Linked DNA regions of Lepisosteus oculatus. The protein of the gene in region 2 interacts with the protein of the main gene of each other region in a biochemical or structural test. Links are inferred from orthologs where the notes say so. Each region holds a gene or a part of one and is shown on either strand. Other genes may lie near its edges.

The links.
Region 1: the proteins of myod1 (region 2) and csrp3 form a complex in vitro, tested with the Homo sapiens proteins (2 studies listed by BioGRID and IntAct, with this or other methods). The link is inferred for Lepisosteus oculatus from reciprocal best matches to the Homo sapiens genes MYOD1 and CSRP3.

What each region holds. Positions count from the first base shown.
Region 1 is NC_090716.1:7,308,881-7,316,797, forward strand, and holds the start of csrp3 (cysteine and glycine-rich protein 3), read left to right. Parts: upstream 1-4,702; 5' UTR 4,703-4,850; intron 4,851-5,932; 5' UTR 5,933-5,959; coding exon 5,960-6,071; intron 6,072-7,056; coding exon 7,057-7,225; intron 7,226-7,917. Other genes in the region: transcription factor E2F8, read left to right, coding at 1-45, 588-669, 1,146-1,659, 1,939-2,223, 2,316-2,451, 2,562-2,944, 3,253-3,420. UniProt on the Homo sapiens protein: Positive regulator of myogenesis. Acts as a cofactor for myogenic bHLH transcription factors such as MYOD1, and probably MYOG and MYF6.
Region 2 is NC_090716.1:12,164,878-12,172,092, reverse strand, and holds myod1 (myoblast determination protein 1 homolog), read left to right. Parts: upstream 1-3,993; 5' UTR 3,994-4,431; coding exon 4,432-4,941; intron 4,942-5,077; coding exon 5,078-5,156; intron 5,157-5,453; coding exon 5,454-5,692; 3' UTR 5,693-6,410; downstream 6,411-7,215. UniProt on the Homo sapiens protein: Acts as a transcriptional activator that promotes transcription of muscle-specific target genes and plays a role in muscle differentiation. Together with MYF5 and MYOG, co-occupies muscle-specific gene promoter core region during myogenesis.

The DNA.
Region 1 (7,917 bases), about 4.9 Mb from region 2:
GAAGGAAAATAAACTCTGCACCCAGCAGTCCTGTCAAGATGAAAAGTAAGTGTTAGGCAGTACAGCAATACAGTGGCGGGGCATATCTTTAACACAAGTAGGAAGCTGCGTCAGCATGCGTAGGCTGCAAAGGAACAAGTAAAGGTTTATTCCATGATGAAAATAAAACAACGTTTTCGGCTGTAGAGTCAGATGGCACTTGAAGAAGGCTCCCCAGCCAAAATGTGTTTCTTTTTTTCTCTTTTTCAGCATTAAATAAATCTTTACATCTTTAACACCTACAAGTCTGAAAATAAATGATCCCCCAGATAAAGTGAACTACTGGACAGTGATACATGTCACAATGAAGCAAGATGTCTTGCTACACAGTGCCTTACAGATCATCACTGGCATCTTTTATTAAACAGGAAACAACCTCTTCCAGCAAACAGACTAGAATACTGAGCAATACATTTATAAGATGTTAGCTTTTAAATATTGTGTAAATTGTGATGGATTATGAGCAAGTATATGGCATTTAATGTCCCTTTTGCACTTTGTTTTTTTTCATTCTTTACACTTATCTCCGTATCCTTGTTTCCCCCAAGACTCGACCGATCCTGAATGTTACCCAAGCAGAATGGCCCAGCTGGCAGCCATCTGCAAAATTCAGCTTGATGAGCAATCAAGGTAAGTTCTAACTAAGGTCATTTAGTGCAATATTTCTTTTCTGTAATGTGGAAATGTTTCTTATTTCCTTATTTAACTTGGTTCGGACAAAGCATCAAACTTTGGTTTTTAATAGCCTTAATGCATCTAAACAAACAAGTAATAGGTTTATTCCATGCTGAAAAAAAAGAAGAAAGAAAACGTTTCGGCCGTGGAGCCTTCTTCAGGTGAGAAAGACAAGACACCTGAAGAAGGCTCCACAGCCAAAACGTTGTTTTCTTTCTTCTTTTTTTCCAGCACGGAATAAACCTATTACTTGTTCCTTTGCAGGCTACACATGCTGACGCAGCTACCCACCTGAACTACTTAATGCTAATACAGTGATAATGCACATACACACCAAAAAACAGTCACCATGGGGGAATCAAAACTTCATTTGTTCAATGCAACTCATTTTTCTACCTCATGAAATAAACTGCTATTTACTTTTGTTTTAGGAAAAGCAAGAAGAAACCCAAACAGACTGTGACACAAGCTCAAAAACAAAAAGGAAAAGCCACCAAAACATCAGGAGCTGTTGAGCAACTAGTAAACGCAGAACAGCAGGATACCAACTCTCAGGCTAAGACCCTTGCGCCATCTACCAGAGCAGTACCTTATCTTCACTGTCAGTATTCTCCCCTCATCCCCATGATACTACCTCAGAACCAGACTGCTGGACCATGTGCTATATATGTGCACTCTTGTGCGCGGCCAGTAGCTAATCGCTCCAGCCTGGCTGTACGATCCATGAGATTTGAAGATAAAGGTGGGGAAAGTCCACCTGACGCTGGCTTAGAAATCCACTGCGACAGGACAGCTTCAGCTTCTGATCCAGAAAATGACTCCTCTCAAAAGAATTGCCAGTCGCCTTGTTCGCTGAACAGTCCCAAGAGGGTCTATAAACGAGCCTGTACTGAAAAGCTTGAAAACTCTTCTCCAAAAAGAAAGAACACCCAGACAAATTCTAGGGTATGTTTTCCTCTTTCTATTTTTGATTCTAAGGGTGTTTCCAGAGCTACAGATAACCTAAAAATATTAGCTACGTTCATTGTTAGCAACTGTCATTCAGAAAAGTTAATTTGTTATATTACTTAAAAAGTGCCTGACCAATAGGTTTAGTCAAGCGTTAAGGAAAGACGTATGTAACTCTCCTGCTTGGTTACCGATGATTCGGTGTCAATTTTCTCAGATGCGACCCGAGAAAATGCTCATTCTTAAGTGAAATTCTCTCCTGATTTTTATCATCAGGGTTCGTCACCCGGTGAAGCAGAGCTATACGAACTCTACCTGGACAAGCTCAAGGCACGCAGGGGATTGGTACCCAACAGACCTTCGCCTAGAGCCTTGCACTTAGATCCAGAGTTTATCAATACCCCGGAGAACAAGGGATCAGAGCAGCTTGACGAAAGTGTGGAGACATTCCTGGAAAAAGAAGAGAAGCTTTCGTGTTCCGACAGCGAAGCAGGACTTACTCCTATACGATCGGTCTCCGTGCCAGAAATCATGGTGCCTTCTGGTCATCTGCACCCTGAGGTAACCAAAGTTTGATATTTCCGTTCCAAATGATATCCACGGATGGGAAAATGTGTTCTGACCATTGATTTTTGTTACATCTGTTGTTCCAGGCACTAGTGCCAGCCGGCTATCTTATTCCCATATCGCAGCAGTCCCTCTTCAGCCTTCAGAGGTCGCGGTCCCCGGACGGAGAAAGCCCCAAGCCCTCAGCTTCACACCACAAGGCTTACCAACCCCCTGTCACAGGTACCGACACGGAGCGAGAAAGCTCACAAGATAGCATTGGAACTCCCGTGTTTCGGAAGTGGTTGAAACCCATTTGACTACCATTCTGTCTTTGCCCCCCTCCCCCACAGGGGCCCTACCTGTGATGTCTTCAGAACTCACCCCTACGAGCTTCACATCGCACGCCACGTTTCAGCACCCCAGCCCCTCCGTCTCCCTCGCCTCCTTTCCAGTTATCAACCAGTCGAGCCCTTCTTTTGCCTCCGGGCAGCACGTGAACAGCCCCAGCCCCGCAATACTGAACTTCACACTACAGAACCTCGGGCTGATCTCGGCTGGAATCCCGCAGGGTGCCAGCCCTGGCACTGTGGCCACCCCCCTGGAGCAGGCCAGCCCCGTCCCAGGACACCTGAGCTTTCAGCCAGGGGGGATGATCTTCATCAAGCCTATGTCTCCAGTCCCGGTTCAGCCTCAGATGCCTGGACAGCATGTTACTTTGATCAGTTTACAGCAGGTGAGAACTAGGACTTGGTTGTTCAAGACCTCTTAAAAGAAGAGAGACAAAAAAATGTTTCACGCTACTATATAGTAATATGCAGTTGTTGATGTAACACATTGTAAATTATTAAATATTTATAGCAGCAGTGAAATACAAAAAAGACGTGCAAACTATGTAGAAATTATTTTTAACCAGTTACAGAAGCAGTCAGAACTGTTTATGTAAAGCATGAATTAACATTAGAGTAAAAGTATCCATTACACACCTTGAAAACTTTGAATCCAAGTTATCAGCTGACTGTAACTGTTTTTATTTTCAAACAGCCTCTTCTGGCAACGCCCAAAGCATCCCAGTGTGCTCAACAGAGCTTCTTCCACACCCCAGTCTCCACCTTGTCTCCCTTGGCTGCTGTGGTCTCGTCTAGTCATTCGTCTCACGAGAACATTTACATACCGCAGAGGAAACTTGAAGTGAGCACTGAAGAAACCTGAAGACTGTAGCAGCAGACCCTCTCTGCACTGTTTTTTTCTTTCATGAGCTGCAAAACGATATTTATAAAGCTTTGACAATTTGACTGTGTGAGTGGGGGGGTGTCCCTTTGCACAAAGGGGTACGCTAGTTCATATTAAATTATTTCTAGGTCCTAAGCACAGACGTGTTCAGGTCCTGCAACACCTGCAGTGAAAGTCATTAAAAAGTTTTGTGGATTTTACAAAACAGATGGATATACCTTCTGAAGACTACAGCCCCTGCTACCAGGTGTCCTCTAATAAAAACTGCAGCATGGAAAAACTTAAAATATAGGGTACCTGCAGGTTTTAGAGTAGTTACAAAACAGCATACTGTATGTACTCTGCTATTTACTTCTTGCAGTTTCTACTGAACCAGACTTGTGCCCCATGATCACTGAAACTAACTGGGCTTGAAAACCTGCAAAAACACAAATACAGTTTACACTGTACATCTTAAAGCACAGACAATGTTTTAACAGTTAATCAACATTTCCACAGGATGAGAAAACATTCACACTGAAGATCTCCATCTTTAATGTTAAACACTAGCTTTTTATACAGTCAGTGCTGTAGCAGAACTGGAGTTTTAAGCAGGAAGTGGCACAGGACCTCGGACCCAATGCATTAATGTACTGCATAATTTTCCAATGCCCATTTAGGATATTCAAAATATGCATGTAGGAATAAACTATGACAAATGTTTCTTATTCAGTAATACAAGTAGCCTTAATAGGACAAATCAAACCGATACATGGATGATTCATGTTTTGCATGTTAGCAAAAAGATGTACGGCACAATGACATTTTGCACATTTTATATGTTAACTGTTACAGTTCTTTAATTGGTATCTATGAAATAAAGATAAAAAATGAATGTATGGGGAAATTTCCTATTAGTGTAATCAGGTGAATTATAATTTCATTAATTTATAGGAAGGATTTTCTTACATTTGTCAATGATCAAAATTGTTAACCTGGACTGCTTTGGTTGGATTGCAGTTGAATTAATTTGATATGTACACATTTACTAAGAAAATAAAGGGGGATTCTTTCTGTTTTCAGCATACAACACCTGTATTTCTTTTCACTGATGAAAATTTCTTAACTAAGGACCCTTCAATACAGCCTACAAATCTGACACATGCAGCTGCCTTCATATTTACACACATGCCCATATTTATCATGAGAACAAATGGCACCCCTAGGGACTTACCAGTTCCCAGCACAAAGCAAAGGATTTGTCAGAAGTTATTTTGGGAAGACCGCTTAATTTGGATGTCAGCTACTGATACCTCCTATAGCTGTGAATGAAAGATGTCCAGTATTTAAGGCTGCCTGGTTTGACATCAACTCAAACCCACCGATCTAAGCAACAGAGAAGGACTACTGGACCCAGGGATCTCTATTTTGTAAGTCTTGGTATTGTTTTACAAAGACTTTCTCATAAAGTATCACAGAATGTCACGTCAAAATATTGAATTCCGTGCTATATCATGAGTTATGTTGGATTAACTGGTTGTAAAATACTTTTGTATTGATTTTGGTGTTAGTAAATTGTAGTGGCAAAATTCCCGTCTCGTCCAAAATATCATTAGAGTTGTGTTTTTAAACATGTAATTAAACCGTGAAACCATTATGGTAGTCCTGATGAAGTCCAGCCGAATAGAATAAAAAACCTGCATACCAGTTAATGTTTTAATAAATTCTTGCCAATATCGTTTTATCTCGGGAGTTAACGTTACATATGTTACTAAACTATTTTTTCCCCTCAAGTCGATTTGTATATTTCGGGAATGAAGCCTCAAACTGCATGAAATCATCTAAATATTTACCTTTAAAGAACCATTGGCATAAGTTCTTCAGTACGTAACTGTGGTCTTTGTACAGACCCTATTCCTGGACTCTTATCGCGGCATTCCAGACATTCAAATTGCTTAATGTCGCTTAATCAATGGAGAGAATAAGTAACTTGCGTGTAGTCTATCAGTCACCCGATACCTTATCGCTCATTTGGGATAAAACTTCACACACATCAAACACTCTTCTGTTCATTCTTATCACTATATAATAAATTGATCATAACGTTTTAAATAACGGGCTAAATTGATTTATTTTCTAGTTGTGTCTTGACGTGTACAAAAACTTGGCACTAATTAATATTTGCCACGCAATATACAATTAATAGTAGATATGTATTACTAAAAGAACTTGGTATACGTTTAAAATACGTTCAATGCTCTGCGAATAAAGATTCAAAAGCAAAATGCTTTTAAGGCCATGAAAATGTCATAACACGCTAAAACACCTTAATGCTAGAACATTTAGAGTAAGCATGCTTGAAACGAATCCCTTATAAAATATTTTTTTAAGTATTAATGGTCTGAAAACGCGGTTCCAATGAGGTATTTAATGATGCGAAGTTGGTAAATACTGTTGTTTCAGGATACAGGTACTGTATGTTGTGCGGTTGTGTGATTTTTCTCTTTTCCAGCAGATCGTTTGAAAAAACAGATTTAAGATGCCGAACTGGGGCGGTGGAGCGAAGTGTTCAGCCTGTGAGAAAACGGTTTATCACGCAGAGGAGATACAGTGCAATGGAAGAAGTTTCCACAAAACCTGCTTTATCTGCAGTGAGTCCTCCGTTTATTCACCACTAATGGTCCACACGGACGACACTTCTCCGTCGCTCATTTTTGTCTTTGGGGGCATTTGGGATGGGTCTGTGCTGAGGGCGCAGGGAATGAACTCTAAACCAAACGTTTGCCCCTTTTTCAAAAAGGCACGCAAATCCTGCGACACCTGTTTCAAGATGTCATTGCAGAAAACAGACGAGCATACAGTAGTTTAGAGACGCCAGTTAACCTAAAAAGCGTGTCATTGTACTGCGGGATGCAGTCGCCGCACAAAAGCACCCCTGGGCTCCGAATTGAAACCCAGGATTTAAGAGCTTGCAGGGCAACAGACCTATCCAGCTCTTCATCACGTGTTATGAACTGTAGCCCATAATTAAATTGCAAGTCTGACATTTGGGCTGCAATCGGTAATGTCATTGAATCCCAAATGTCCGTGTAATTAATTGCCGTTCAGGCTGTGCTCCGTCTGTTGCGGCAAATTAAAAAGTTTACCCTCCGAAACAAAAATGGAATTAGAAACCAGGTTATACTGGCCAATAGCTCAACATCAACAGCGGACAATTTTGCATGCAAGGGAATTTGGAGACTGGCACAATATTAACTAAAATATCTGTTATCTTCACAGCGACCTTCTTTGGCTACTTAACAACGTAGCACCGAGGTGTGGAAATCACCAGGGCTCAATCTGAATGATGCTAGCTCTATCTTTAGCAGGCCAGGCAAAGGTCATGTGTGACATTTATAAATAGCTTTCATTGTCAGGTTTGACGCCATTTTATTTTTGTGACCACGATAAGTCAAGTTTTTAACTAAATTTAAATTTACCTTTTGGCTAGCAAACGGTACTTTTATGTACAACATACCCCAGGATGAAGCATCATACTGACAGGCAGCGACCAAATAAAAAAAACAACAACAACAACAACAACAAATGTTTTGCAGCTCCCGTCTTCTAAGAAAGCTTTACCTTTGTTTCTTCTAGTGGTCTGCAGAAAAGCCCTTGATAGCACAACGGTAGCAGCACACGAGTCTGAAATTTACTGCAAGACCTGTTACGGGAAGAAGTATGGTCCAAAAGGCTACGGCTATGGACAAGGTGCGGGAGCACTCAGCTCAGACCCCGGAGAGCACCTGGGGATTCAACCGCAAGAGTACGTGAAGGGAATTCATCCAGCAGATCAAATACCATTTTCAATTTCCTGTTTACCTAAACTACAGCACTAAATAAGTGTCCCAAAGTCCAGTGCCAAATGCGCAAAAGTGTTCCTTGTACGCGAAGTCATCCGCGTATTTTTGGAGCTCACTTTGCAACTTCAAAGGCAATAGTCAGCTTCTGCGTCTTCAGTAGAACCGAGTTTAGTCAAATCCATCAATTGCCCTCTGCAGCGTAATACGTTTTTTTTTCCCCTGAGGTTTATCAAGTTAATATGAACTACACACTTCTCCAAACGGTTCGAATTTTGCCAGGACGCCTGGTTCAACCGTGAAACGCACCTGAGAAGCTACCGGACTGAATGCGTCCTGAACAGACCCGGAGTAGTGATCAGGGTCACCTGGAAATTATGTTTGAGACTGATTTGCTTGAGGCAAAATCCTCCGACGCTCAAATATTGAATGGGAATCACTCCATCTTGTTTTCGTAATGAGCAGATTTTAGTCTCCTTAAATAGGAATGGCCTAAATTCAAAGGGATATTACTTTACAATACATTCCGAAAACACGGAATACCATGCATAACAAAAATCCGTATTTTCAACCTTCTCAAACCGAGAGATTATTAATTAAAAGTAATCTACTACAGTGACGAGCTACACGTGTAAGTGATTACATTTGAGAATAAACC
Region 2 (7,215 bases):
CCAAGAACACTGATCATCCCCCTCGGCTCATCCTGGGCAGCTAGGACAATGGGCTTCTTGGTAAAAAACAAGGTTTATCACAATATGGTGATTTTAGACCAGAACCTTTGTGCCAAAACTGTGAAGTGGAAAACGTCGGACTCTTTCTTAATCATCCACCCACTTCCTTAGCCATCAGGGTCACGGGGAGCTGGAGTCTATCCCGGCAAGCAACGGGCATGTCCCGATCATATTACACACAAAATTAGCATATTGATGTTAGGGACAAACTTTACAATTCCCATAGGATGGCAAATTGAATTTAATTAGGCTGTTAGTAGGTCAATAGGCTGTGAGTGTGAAAACTGCCACTTAAGGTGAATACTTTGTTACACCTGGTAGAATAGCTACTTTTAGTGAAAAATATCTAGCCTATATCTACAGGTACAGCCTGTAAAATCATACTTTCTTTTCAGAAAGAGTTTAAGTACTTCTAAAACAGGGAGCAGGAAGCGCTCCTTTAGACAAAGGGGTGTGGGGGTATGGAACAAACTACCCAGCTATGTTGATGGAGCCGATACTCCGTCTTATTTTGAGAGAAGGGTGAATGAAATTCTTGGATCAACAACTAACTTATAGCCCAACAAATACGTCATTTTTAGTTCTAACTGAAAACTGAAAAGCAATCCTAAAACAGATTAATTTCTGTTGATTTTTTTGTATGTAGGATTATGACGGACAGATAGAAAAGGATGACCAAGACTAAAAATATTGCATAGGTTCAACCGCGTGAAAGAAAGCTTGGGTCTTTGATGAAGCAATGGTGATTAAATGCAGTAGCTAGTATTACATCTATTTAAATATGTAAAAAAAAAAACAATCAGAGACTGGATACAACTGTGAAATGTTAGTCTTTCTAAATGCTTTTATGTTACAAAGCGTATTCAGAACAGAAGACAGCTTTATGGGTTTTATTCGCTCACTGACAATGCGATATAAACATTAACAGAACATGAGCATACTGTATGGCTTCTATTGCCGTAGACGTAAAGATATTGACTAGGTACACTGTCGTGTTTTACTGAAGTCAGATGTGATTTTCCTTAAATCTTGCATTCAACACAATTATAGTGATAAAAAAGTATCAAATAATCCGAATGCTCCTTAATCCAGGCTCTGTTAATGACATCGAGCGAGTGGGTTATTGCTTTTTAGTAAAACCATATAAATGGTTGCGAGAATCTCGCAACAGCTTTTATTCATTCGCATTTTAAAAATATTCATTTTGGGGTGTAATAATATTATAATAAAACTGCTTTATTCATAGAGGTGGTACTGATAAATTTATTGTTAATGAGCTTGTTTGTATCTTTTGTTTAAAAGTCCTTATTTCCTCTGCAGAACCGATTACACTGAATTCTAACTGTTATTACTACTAATAATTACAATTTCAAAGCGCTAAACTATTAAAGAGGGGTTAATTAAAAAAATAATACTACAATAAGTGTTATCAAGTGCTTTAAGTACTACTTGATGCCAAACAATGGGACTTGAGACTGCACTACAGTATACAGCAAACTACCCCTCTTTCCTGTCCTCTGTTCACTGCGATATCCGTTTGTATACCGGTTCCGCGCGTTTAAGTCGGAAGACGTTGTTGACTGCCCCTACCTAGACAGTTCTCCTTGTTTTCTAATTAAATTTCCCACCTCTTATTAATTAATAATAATTCCTTACACTTACGTTCCCAGAAATGGGCGAACACGAACACTAATAAACAGATCTAATTGCACATTTGTAGATGACCAGGTGCCTTTTGTTTAAAATAACACCCGACACGCATTAATATGATTGTCCCAGGAAATATTAAGCAGCGACGTTTTGATTAAAATTCCTTCAAGCGGTTATTCGTTACACGACATTAAACGCTCACCGGCTTCAGATAAATTTAAACCTTTTCAAAATGTTACTGAATTGTGTTTGTATTGTGGAATCGCTGTAAAGTTTTAAAGTTGTGATAAAGAACTTTGTAGATCATGTATTTTTTTCTTCAATTGTAGATTGGATAATTATTGGGTTATTAATGCTAAACAACTACTTACTGTAACTAAGCTGTTCCGTATTTAACCCGAATATTAGGAACCCCGTCTTTCGTCCTGAAATAAAAATGCCCACAATGAAAAGAAATCCTTACTCATATATAAACTGTTAGACTTTGTCTTATTATGATTGCTCTTTTATTATTATTATTTTATGATTGCTCTATTATTTCAATAAAATCGTTTAACATTTTTTCTAGACGTAATATGTAAAGAAATGAACCCAAAAATGTATAGAATTGTACGACTTCAAGGTGTGTATTTCCTAAGGAAATTAATACAACGAAAAAATACATTGTTCTACATACATTGGTACATTCGTTAAGATGTGGCGATACACCCGAGATCTTGCATTGTTTTAGGATTCTGTAAATTGCCTGCCTGGCTTTTAAACCTGTACATAACAAAGGGAACCCTGACAGAATCAGGAAAAGAAACTTAAACCCAATTTAACTCATGGATTTGTACCCTGAATGGTGTATGAGCTAATTGGCTAACCACGATTTACATTCTAATGTTTGATGATACAGTATTCTACAATAAAGCTACCTTTAACGAAATATAAAGCACATATTCCTTTTTAGGGTGATTTTTTGTTGGTTTAATCACGGAACCTTGCACTTTCTTACAGGCCAACAAAAAAAAATCGGATCGTGGTAAAATTTAAAATGAAAATAGGACCTTTGAAATAACGTAGGTTTCTCTCGCTGTTTTTCAATGAGACAGTGTATGGTGCTAAAACAAGTAAACTTTGGGGACGAATGTACTTTTCCAGATACTTTTTTTTTAATACGTATATACAAATACTATAAGGTAGGCTTGAGATGTGCGTTAAGTGGGAACGATCTATTCGCTTTACCTCGACTCTTTACTGCCATCTAGTGGCGCATGATAAAACTCACTACCTGAGAGCAGAAGGGTGCTGTCATCGGAAACTTCAGGGCTACGGTTGTTGTATCTGGTGATGCGGCATCTTTCTTCACAATAAAACATAATACAGAAATAACTTCGTTAAAATGAATTAAAATAATTCAGCTTTTAATAAAAATATAATATAATATGGTTTAAATATCCAACTATTTATGGAATGTTATTATGAAATTTAAAACCTCAAGAACCGTTCAGGAACGACACGCTTATTAGAATTAAATCTAAAGAGTTATAAATAAGAAGGCACCGTGAAAAATGTATGATCAATCTTGTAAAAAATACGGTTTCGATTTAAAAGGAAGTAATGTAGTCGTTTAGCATATTTTATAACCCAAGGGTGCTTGTGGTAATGAGAACACTTTCTAAAAAACTTTTCGAATAAAACATTTGAGTTAAAACATTCACGATTAAACCAGTCAGCAAGTTGATACTGTATATAACCTATTTGACGATAAATGAGAGAGTGAGATCAACATTTCAAATAAGTGAAAAACTACCCCCTTCTGAGAAAACTAGCTGTTAAAGGCTGAAATTAGAATAAAAAAGAAAACCATCTAAAACGATAAAGGACAACATCGAAACGTCCATGTTTTCCAGTATCAAAATAAACCCGTTAGTGAGATAAACCCGGTCTGACAATAAGAAAGAAAAGCTGTTCAGTGATTTGCTTCAAATAATAATAAAAATTATCCCTGAGCATTTCTAAGGTTAGTTTGTGAACTTTTAAACTTGATAATGTAGAAAAATATTTTTTTGAAAGACCCTTCAATAAAAAGGCGTAATGGCCAGTTTAACAAGTATACAGAAGCTTATGCGAGTCGCAAAATAATTCGTGTATCCAAACACATCAGCGGTCTATTCTGCTTTATGTATTATTTTCTCGGGGGTGAGTTGAATAGATGGTTAACAAAAATGCGCTCCCTAAAACATGATAAAAATGATGTTTTTATTACTAAAATTCAAAAGTTGTGCGTGATCCCCTTATCACCCGCGGTGTTTTCTCTTTCCTGAACATTCTCCAGGATGACACCGGAGAGGAGAGGGGAACAGCGAACTCCTCCCAAGAGGCTCGCCCGTGCCCTGCCTCTCTCCGTGCTCATTGGTCACTGCAGAGAGGTGTCCGAAAGCCAAGATACGCCCAAGAGCTGCAAGTCCTCATAAATAGAGCAAAAAACACATGCTCAGCAACAGGTACCCAAAGGGTGCTTTAAGCAGGCAGTCCTGGAGACAAGCACTCACCATCCTTGGTTTTAACGTCACGTCAAGTTCTACATTTAAGACGCGTTCGGGGTTTTTGTTTTTGTAACATTTGAAGAACTGAAGTTAAACTTTACTCCTAGAAGAGAAAGGCAAAAGCCAAAGTAAACTTTTTCGTTGTTGTTTTTTTGTTTTGTTTTCTGGAGGCAGAAATCAGCCCTTCACCATGGAGTTATCGGATATCACTTTTCCCATCACCAGCGCTGACGACTTCTACGATGACCCGTGCTTTAACACCAGCGACATGCACTTTTTCGAAGACCTGGACCCCAGGCTGGTTCACGTGGGCTTGCTGAAGGCGGACGACCACCATCACAACGAAGACGAACACATTCGGGCTCCCAGCGGGCACCACCAGGCGGGCCGATGCCTGCTCTGGGCTTGCAAAGCCTGCAAGAGGAAGACCACCAACGCCGACCGCCGGAAAGCGGCCACGATGAGGGAGAGGAGGCGGCTGAGCAAAGTGAACGAGGCGTTCGAGACCCTGAAGAGGTGCACATCCACAAACCCCAACCAGAGGCTACCCAAGGTTGAAATTCTCAGAAACGCCATTAGCTACATTGAGTCCCTACAATCCCTACTCCGAGGTCAGGATGAAAACTACTACCCAGTACTGGAGCACTATAGCGGGGACTCCGACGCGTCCAGCCCCCGGTCCAACTGCTCGGATGGAATGGTGAGATGATTTTAATGATTTTAACATAGTGAGATTTGCCATCGTAACTTAGTGGCGCGTTGGTTTGACTGTAAACTTCATGCGATTCATGTGCGTTGTACCGCAAGCCGAACATTTCGAAATGTCTTTCTTCCAGATGGATTTCGGCGGCCCAACATGCACTTCGAGGAGAAGAAACAGTTATGACAGCGCTTACTTTTCCGAAACTCCAAATGGTAAGTGTCAGGCTAGACCCATCCGGCTGCAGCTGTTTGTTTTTCCTTTAGAAGGACGGGATAGCAGGCTTGGGAATCATACAGTATCGTCTGACATTAGTTGAGATGTTTTATTGTGGCCTTCTAGCAAGTGTAACGGGAATGCTGGTCTCAAGAATGACCATGTCAGCATATAGGTATACACATATGTAAAGCACGAACTTAGTCAGAAGGATGTTTATGCATGAGTACATTTCAGATCCCGTGAAATCAGTTCCGTTAGCAGCACAACGTCACAATTATTTCTTATATCTTCAGATTCCAGGACTAGTAAGAACTCGGTCATTTCCAGCTTGGATTGTCTGTCCAGCATCGTGGAGCGCATTTCAACAGACACCTCGACGTGCCCGGCGCTGCCCGCGCAGGACGGGGGCGAAGGCAGCCCCTCGTCACCCCGAGAGGGATCCATCTTGAGTGAAGCCGGGGCGCCCGTCCAGTCCCCCACCAACTGCACTCAGCTGGCCCACGACCCCAACCCCATCTACCAAGTGTTATAAATGCGCCGGGTTTCTCCCGAAATGACTGACGAACAAACTATACATTCTTTAACGAACGATTATTCCTCTAAAGACGGTGGACAAAGTTACCACGTTTCTGACTAAACCGGGGAATGGTTGCCATTCTCTTCCTATTAATAGAAAGGTGTTCCAATGCCTTAAAGGCGACATATCCCTTTTCATGCCATTTCAGTATTGATTGATTTACAGTATTATATCAGATGCACTGTCAAAGACTAACAAGAAAATGTGAATACTTACGTCAGAAAACTCTGGCGAAGAGAAATGTATTTGTGTCAACAAACAGTATTTATAGAACAGCATGTTTTTCCTAAAGGAGATTTGGGTCATGTGGTACAGATCCGTATCAGGGCTGATATGATAAGCGGTGTCATTTATTAATGCCATTATAAAGCGGTACCGCTCTAGATCATTTCATCTCGGAAACAAAGTCATCTCCGCAAAGTATTTCCACTTTATATAAAAAAAAACAAACAAAAAGCCAAAACGAAACTCATCTGGAGAATGTGGACCATTTTTGTAATGTATACTTGTAAATAAGAGCTGCTTTGCTTAAAATGTTTAAATATTTAATGTTGCTTGTTTATAGAGTCGCTTGGTTTGTTGTGTCAAATCTTTAACTTTATATTTATATATCTTAAAATCTGGGTGAATGTCACAGTTTAAATAAAGAAACCAACACGAATATTTATATATAAATGACGTGGTCTGTTTTATCTTTTTTACCTTGTGAATTCTTTGTTGACAAAATCACAATTTAGGCTAATAATAATAATTTAGGCAGTATAAAGATGAAGAACGAATTGAAGGTAATTGTTAGTAGGGAACAAACGACAGTATATTCGTTATTTGTTGCAAATGCTTTTACATATATTGCTTTTACATTATTCTAATTGAAATAATATCTAAACGTTTAGATTGGGGATACTCTGTCATGTACATAAAACATCAGAAGTAATATCAATTTTATTTTAAAGACACTGTACTGCTAACTGTGTGTTTATATGATTATATAAGTAAGATTTTACACGCCATTCTTTTAATAGGTCGCCTGTTATTTTGGTGAACATGCACAACAAGATTTTTCATTTTTTGCGAGAAGACAATTTTTAATCTTCACATCCGGTTTACAAGAATAAGTGATCTTTAAGCTATGTGTCCGTTGAACTCCGTAGGATTTATCAACGATTCGTTTGTACGTAGCAAAAACTTATACTGTCTGAATATCTTGAGCAAATAACTTTAAAAAACCAGGTATATAGAAAGCACAAAATATTCAAATTCTTTCGATTTTAGCTTAAATACGAATAAACTCCATTTATGATAAAAAAATAGCTTAATAGGTAACCTTCTTTGGAAAAGAGCAGTCATCAATGGCAAGAATATTCCCTCGAAATCGGTACATTTTGAGAGGGGTGATGGCAACAGTTCTGTCGAAAATCAACTGTTCAAATCTGAAGGCAGAACTATTTTGGAGAAAAAAAACTACTGAACGTTATCAA